2 linked regions of the Bombyx mori genome follow. Each later gene encodes a partner of the first gene's protein in a complex. Links are inferred from orthologs where the notes say so. Each region holds a gene or a part of one and is shown in the gene's direction. Other genes may lie near its edges.

The links.
Region 2: protein bicaudal D (region 1) and bicaudal D-related protein homolog share a complex: the UniProt entries of both Homo sapiens proteins name them as parts of the tripartite complex. The link is inferred for Bombyx mori from reciprocal best matches to the Homo sapiens genes BICD2 and BICDL1.

Annotation. Positions count from the first base shown.
Region 1 is NC_085125.1:2,137,585-2,141,407, forward strand, and holds part of protein bicaudal D, read left to right. Parts: intron 1-1,179; coding exon 1,180-1,440; intron 1,441-2,158; coding exon 2,159-2,325; intron 2,326-3,285; coding exon 3,286-3,360; 3' UTR 3,361-3,823. UniProt on the Homo sapiens protein: Acts as an adapter protein linking the dynein motor complex to various cargos and converts dynein from a non-processive to a highly processive motor in the presence of dynactin.
Region 2 is NC_085122.1:13,073,380-13,077,825, reverse strand, and holds the start of bicaudal D-related protein homolog, read left to right. Parts: upstream 1-1,342; 5' UTR 1,343-1,691; coding exon 1,692-2,132; intron 2,133-4,446. UniProt on the Homo sapiens protein: Acts as an adapter protein linking the dynein motor complex to various cargos and converts dynein from a non-processive to a highly processive motor in the presence of dynactin.

The DNA of each region.
Region 1 (3,823 bases):
AATTCAAATTTATTAAAATTTATTTTCTATTTTTTAGTTGGATTTTCTATAAAAGCGTGCTTTGTTAGTTTTCTTAAACTATTATTTAAGATAAATTGGGTTGCATCTAAGCAATGTTCTAGTTAGTTAGTGGACAGTTTACAGCTGTAGTGATTGTGTAGTAGAATTATCGATAAAGAAAATAAGACTGACTCGTTGGTGCAATAGTTAACGGCCTTGACTGTCGCGTCGAAGGACGTGGGTTCGATTCCCGCACCGGGAAAACGTTCGTGTGAAGAGCAAATTTGTTTGCTCATTATCTGGGTGCTTATTATCTAACGTCGTCGACTAATTTAGAAGTCGTCGTGGCCTAAAGGATAAGACGTCCGGTGCATTCGTGTTGAAGCGATGTAACGGTGTTCGAATCCCGCAGGCGGGTACCAATGTGGGTGTTTTGTTCCTAGGTATTTATTATTATTTGAAGAATTTTAATAAGGTTCATTTCACCCACTCGTCATTGTTGGGTTTTGAAGATTATATCTCCACGCCCTCACTAGTAACCAAAGATAATACGTGTCTGTGTGTCGTTAACTGCGTGCGGGCCCCGGCAGTCATGTCCCGCAACCCCTTAACTTGTTCTTCACACTGCCCTTCATTCACTCATGTTCATTCTTCATTCGTTCATTCAGTCGTAGAACCTTGTAGATTTTGATCTGAAAAATGAGCACCTACTGCCCATTCTTTATCTCTGTCGTCGCAAAGTGTGCAGTGCCTCGCGTCGCAATGCACACGCCAGGTGTAGTCCACAGCAGTCCGGGCCGAGTCGCCAGCCAGTTCCCCTTATTGAACTGGTGATTTACTGGTGGTAGGACCTCTTGTGAGTCTGCGCGGGTAGGTACCACCGCCCCGCCTATTTCTGCCGTGAAGCAACAATGCGTTTCGGTTTGAAGGGTGGGGCAGCCGTTGTAACTATATTGAGACCTTAGAACTTATATCTCAAGGTGGGTGGCGCATTTACGTTGTAGATGTCTATTGGCTCCAGTAACCACTTAACACCAGGTGGGCTGTGAGCTGGTCCACCCATTTAAGCCAAAAAATAATAATAGTGTAATTCAATTTGACATTGTTTTGCAGAATTCTAATATACCAGCACTTAGTAGTCGTTTTCTCGACCTCATCGAGAGTTTAATGTGCTCGCAGTGATGGAGACCACGGAGGAGCGCGGCGCCGAGCTGGCCGAGCTCCAGGAGCAGGTCATCAAGCTGAAGTCCCTTCTGTCGACCAAGCGCGAGCAGATCGCGACGCTGCGCACCGTGCTCAAGTCCAACAAGAACACGGCCGAGGTGGCGCTCGCGAACCTCAAGTCCAAGTACGAGACGGAGAAGACGATCGTCACGGAGACCATGCTCAAGCTCAGGAACGAGCTGCGCCTGCTCAAGGAGGACGCCGCTACGTTCTCGAGTCAGTACTGGCTTTTTTTTTTTTGCCGTTGTAGGCGATCACTAAATACTTAGAGGCCCGACACGTTGGACTGACCAGATCCGCACTACCCTCGATACCACAGTTCACGATGCTCTACACTCGGCGGCAGATAGAGGGAAATGGCGTGGAATGATCCGGAATAAACTCTTGTTGCGAGGGGGTGGTCACGACCCTCAGTATTGAGGAAACCAAACTAAGAAGAAGAAGGCAGACGAGCATACGGCCCACCTGATGGTGAGTGGTTACTGTCGCCCGTGGACTTCAGCAATGCCAGGGGCAGAGCCAAGCCACTGCCTACCGTTGAAAATGTTTCAAGGTGGTGTCTCAAAGTCAACATTAGTTGGGCTATGAGCTCGTTCACTCATCTTCTTCTATCTATATATAAAAACGAATTGCTGTTCGTTAGTCTCGCTAAAACACGAGAACGGCTGGACCGATTTGGCTAATTTTGGTTTTCAATTATTTGTGGAAGTCCAGAGAAGGTAGGAAGGTAGATAAAAATGAAAATGCTCTGAATTAAATAAAAATAACAATTTTGTTTTTCCTCTGATGTGTCCTCCGTCGGACGGATTCCTTTTGTTTTAAGTTTATGTTATACAAAAGCTTAGGTCTTTTATTTATCGATTGAGGCACTACGAAGTCTGCCGGGTCGGCTAGTGTGAAATAAAATAGCTAGATGTGTGAGCGTCCGTTCCAGGCTTGCGTGCCATGTTCGCGGCGCGCTGCGAGGAGTACGTGACGCAGGTGGACGAGCTGACGCAGGCGCTCTCCGGGGCCGAGGATGAGAAGAAGACCCTCAACCAGCTGCTGCGCCTCGCCGTGCAGCAGAAGCTGGCGCTCACGCAACGGCTCGAGGAGCTGGAGGTAATGGTCCTACTAACTAAATATAATAATAATATTAATTTACTCCACAATACAAATAACTTTCCAATTGACATGTCCTTCTTCAAACGAGGCTTGTGGAGAGTATTAAGCAGTAGGCAGCGGCTTGGCTCTGCTCCTGGCTTTGCTGAAGTCCATGGGCGACGGTAACCACTTACCATCAGGTGGGGCGTACGCTTGTCTGCCTACAAAGGCAACAAAAAAAAATATATGACCTAAATTTCTAATTATATCTAAACAATATTACAATTAATTATACTGACAGTGGAGATAAAAAGGCCGCGGCCCAGCTTTGTGGTAGCTGAAACTATCGCTGCTATTCTGCCGCTGCCTGTAATTTTAATCTATAAAATAATAAACTAAACTAATAAAACTAAAATAATATAGACTAATCTATAAAAAATAATCTAATAATACCTAAATTTAAACATGTGGCATAATCTACAAAATCCCTGCCTCCGCACTTTGTTGCTCAAGTAGAAATTCCCTACAAAAATATTTGAAAGGGTTAACTAACTAAATATAATAATCCGTCGACATCGAGCCAAAGGGTCGGATGTTCAAGGGTGTTTGAGATCATGTCCATCATACGAGCAACACACGCCGCGTCGGACACAACCGTCTAACCTCAGATGTAGGTAACCTGATTTAGGACTGGTGGTAGGACATTTTGTGAGTCCGCGCGGGTAGGTACCACCGCCCTGCCTATTTCTGCCGTGAAGCAGTAATGCATTTCGGTTTGAAGCGTGGGGCAGCCTTAACTTAACCACTTAACACCAGGTGGGCTGTGAGCTCGTCTACCCATCTAAGCAATAAAAAAAACATGTGATCAGACTCGATATGTTCGCGAATGCCGCGTCACGTAAGAGGAACTAGACATATTTGTGGATTGCTGCGTCACCGGTCCGCTGTGACGTCATCTGACAGTGACGTGTGTCGCAGGTGGACCGCGAGATGCGCTCCCGGCGCGTGCCCAAGGCGGGCGGGGTGCGGGGCGGCAGGGGGAGGGACTTCTAGCGACTGCTGGCGCCGGTCAAGGCCGTCGCCGTCCTGCTGCGCCGTCTGCTGCGGACCTAGGGCTCCAGCCTCACCGGCCCGGTCCCCTATTTGTACGTTTTGTAAACTTTTTAATGTAATGTGAATCGCGCCGCACGTCCGGCCCCCGTCGCGGCGCCGGTCCGGGCCTCGTCCGGCGCCGCTGGAACGGTCAAATTGCGGCGGGCTGCCGGACGCGGGCGCGGCGGTCCCCAGCCCGGGGCCGCGCCCGGCCTACCCCTTCCCTTTCCTCGGGACATATTTTCGTATCGATTTCTTCACTCGATATCGCGCGTCGACGCGAATCGATTATTTTTGTAACAGGACCGGTGTATTTTGTTAAGCGAATATTTATTGGCGCCGTTGTGGTCCGCGGTCTCCCCGCGCGCCGGACGGACGCGGCCCCCCGTTACGTCCAAATGTGAAATTTCTAAAGAAAAAGAAT
Region 2 (4,446 bases), on another chromosome or scaffold:
CGTGACCTTAGAACTTATATCTCAAGGTGGGTGGCGCATTTACGTTGTGGATGTGTATGGGCTCCAGTGACCACTTAACACCAGGTGGGCTGTGAGCTCGTCCAACCATCTAAGCAATAAAAAAAAAGAAAAAGAAAAAATACGCTTTGAAAAACATCGATTCGTACAATAACCATAATAATAGCCTCTTTTGGTATTATGAGATCATTTCCCGACTTAGTCAGCATTAATAAAAAAGTTTTAAAATTTGTTCAATTTTAATCCTCTCTCCATATTACCTTGATATTTATTGTCCTTGTCTAGCACTAAGGTTTTTGAATCACCTGATTGTTTGTCTCCGTTGCACCTGGTGAATTAAGGCAAAGATTAGATAATAATGACAGACCAGTTTTGGTGATAAAGCTTAATATGAAAAAAATCAATTCTGAGTGTAAAGTGATGTTAAATTGGTACGTATTTTTGGAAATTTTCAGCAATTTGCTTAATTAATATGTAACACCATCTATGTCTATGAGTTGATAAAAAAGTTATGTTATTTTATGTTACATTTTTAAAATATCGGGCTACGAAATAGAATGTTTCTTTATGGATTCTTTTCTCTGATACTATACTAACAATTATTTTATTTTATTTTATTTTATTTATTAAACACACAATACACATCACAAGCTAAAAAGATACATAAAAACACAAGTAAAAAGAAACAAAATCTGGCTTACAACATAAGCCATGTGCGCACGACTACGCAAGACAAAGTGCTGAGTTTGTACATAGTGGTCCTTACATCTATACGACAAAACAACACGATAATAAAAACTAATCTAACTTTTAATGTAAGGAAATAATTTTATTCACAAGCTACAATTAAACAATTACACTACTTAACTTCAGTAGTAGTTTCTTTTGTAAACTTAAGCAATACTTATTAAGGACATCATTCATGGTCGTAGAACGGATAGGTGTAATAAAGTGAGTTCTAACCCACAAACCACAGCCCACTGAGTTTCTCGCCGGATCTTCTCAGTGGGTCGCATTTCCGATTAAGTGGTAGATTCTGCGAAGCACTGCTCTTGCTAGGGCTAGCGTTAGCAACATCGTCAGGTTTGAGAACCGTGAGCTATCCTATTAGCCCGGCGACGCTGACATGGTCTCTCTAGACCAGCGGTCGGGGAACATTATTAATTATTGCCCCAATTTTTTTTGTGTATTAACAAAAAAAAAACTTGTTAGGCTACGCAGACATAGCCTCTCAAGGCTACCTAGCCTTAGATAGGAAGAAAAAAGTAATAAAAATAAAAAAAAGATATTTTTTTTTCGTCTCTTATCGTTGCTTAATCTTTGAGCATCGCAACGCGTTCCGGCTCGGGAGGTTTCATACAGCGTTGTTGTGACCGATCCGTTGTCGAGGCAACATCGGCGCTGTGGTTCGCGCCGCGCGTTTATTGACATAACAATATTAACCGCGATACGTGCTCCGCGCTGTGCTGTGCTGTGTCAGTGTTGTGAAAATGTTACCGTAACATTAAAATGGCATTAAAAAAGGATTTCGATCTACCGAAGAACATATTCAAAATCAAAATCCCAAAAAACGTGAAAGTCCAACAGGCGTTCGAAAAAATATTCAAGAAGAGTAACTACACTAAAATCGCGCAGAGTTAATTCGGTTTGTTAACGTTTTTGTTTCATGTTAAATGGCCGGTGAGTTTAGTGCTTATAATATCAGTAGAAGTAGAAATTCCGAAATAGAACCGCCCGATCGTGACCAGTCCCCAAATTTCATAACCGATGCCACTGAGTTTATCGGTAAAGGTGATATAAGAAATTCGACCCCAATAAAGAAACACCGAAGAAGCAGAAGCAGAAGTGGCAACAGAAAGACCCCTATAGCTCTCAGCTTGTCTGATGAGAACTTCTATGAAGAACTAGAGGAATACGTCAGAGAAATGTCGGCGGTTAGAGATACAAGCGCGAATATGGACGCGAACACCGAGCAAGACGTGTGGACTCAACTACAGCAGAAGGAATCTGACCTTCTGCTTGCTGCGGAACTGGGGAAGGCTTTGCTAGAGAAAAACGAAGAGCTAAAGAAGGAACAAGAAAGGATCGCTGAGGAGTACTCCAAAAAAGTCGAGGTGAGTTATTTGTGTTCAAACTTTTTTTTAATCTATTTTTTATTGCTTAAATGGGTGGACGAGCTCATAGACAGCTACAACGTAAATGCCTTACCTTGTGATGTGAGTTCTAAGGTCTCAGTATAGTTACAATTATTAGTTATTTATTACACAAAAATATTATTCTTAATGTTGTTATACCATAAGCAGAAAAATATTTAAGAAATGCCGTGTTTATTTAGTTTTGATTAACTTAAAATAACATGCAAAGAAAAATACTTTAATATATCTAAATGTTGTTTTGGCGATGTTAACGGTACTATTATAGAAATATAACGTTATAATTTCGGTAACATGCGCTGTTTTACACCTTTATGTTTAAGCTTGCAAGTAAGAAATCGAGACTGTAACTGCTAACAATGAGTTATAGGAATCTCAGTTCTATACACTCTTGTATAAATGTCATGTTTCTCTGATTTAGTATTAGCGTTGCTACATTTAAGGATTGCGTTGTGTGAATGTTGCAATACGAAGCGAACTATCTCGATTTCGGATGAATAAAAAGTTTTAATGAAAATCAAAATATATACCATGTGTTTTTTTATTCCCGTCGACGGGCATATAATGCGCATGGTAAATGGACGCCGACGTCGCCCAAAACAAGTCATCTCGGATCCTCCCGAATCACTAACGGTGCTTTTAGGTACCTCAAGCACCGGTCATCGTTCTCGTCGAACCCGTCGCTTGCGACGAAGGGCTTGGCGAGTAAATTAACCCATAGACAGCCCACTGAGTCTCTCGCCGGATCTTCTCAGTGGGTCGCGTTTCCGATCCGGTGGTAAATTCTGCGAGGCACGGCCCTTGCTAGGGTTCGTGTTAGCAACATATTCAGGTTTGAGCTCTGTGAGCTTACCTAATAGCCCGGCGACGCTGACATATTCTCTCTAGAGTACTCTAGACCATCAGCTTAGGTAGGAATAAAAAAAAAGTAAATGGTTGCTACAGTCCTTGGACACCGGCGAGCTAAGCTTTATTATTCATTTAATAAAACTAGTTTTTAATGACGAGTTGTATAGCTGGTCACAATGAAACATATTAAGTATCGTTTTATTTAATGATTATTTCCTATAACTGATGAGTAAGAACTCAATGGCAGGTTGTAAATTAGTGATAATTATAACGATTTCTTTACGTTTTTCAAATATTAATTCATCTTACAATATACTTTTATAAATCGTGGCTAAAAAGGTAAGATGTCTGGTCTATTCGTATAAATAGACCGATGCGCCTATGAAATCCCGAAGGCAGGTACCAATTTTTCTAAACAAAATTTCTACTATGAGAAATTACACAATACTTAATTACTGACGGCAGTGAGTCCGCACGGGTAGGTATCACCATTTTACCTATTTGCGCCACTAAGCTGTCATGCGTTCCGGTTGTACAATGCAATTCACACTACGACCTCATGTCTCATGGTGTTTTTATTTAAATTGCCGTCACTCATGGACATCAGCAATGTCAGGGACAGACCGAAGCCGCTGCCTACCAACATATGCACACTGTAATCTCTATGGGCCTTATGACTATAAGAATCCTATAAGATTAGCGCGAGCCGCAGATGTAATTTAAATATACACTTTTATTGTTTAACTAGCGACCCGCCCTCGCTTCGCTTCGGAAACTGTAATTTATTATTGATTTCTCCACTATTTAATGGATGTTATTATACATATAAACCTTCTTCTTCAATCACTCTATCTATTAAAAAAACCGCATCAAAATCCGTTGCGTAGTTTTAAAGATTTAAGCATACATAGGGACAGACAGATATTCCTATAGAAAGTGACTTTGTTTTATACTATGTAGTGATTTTATTTTAACTCCTACTTTTTACAATTTCCCAATTTATTTATTTATTTATTTGGGAAACAAACAGTACAATACAAACATATAATATTTAAAAAAATATAGCTAATACAATAATCAAATATGTTCCCACAATCAAAATCACATATAAGTAGAAAGTGAACAGAGAAGAGAAGCTTAGAAATTTAAATTACAAAAAACAAAAGCAACACAATACGCACATATTATTTTATACATCAACTAACACTATAAAACTATAATCCTCATCGGACTAAATCACCTTATAAATATTTTAAGATAGCTTTTCTATATGCTACAAGTGACAAGCAAAAGATGTCAGGATTAGAGAACTTAGCATCATACAACCTACAAGATCTATGGACAAAAGAATTAGAAGCATATTTCGTTCGAGCCGTGGACATGTGGAAGGTCTGTTTAGAACGCGCGGAAATACGACTACATTTAA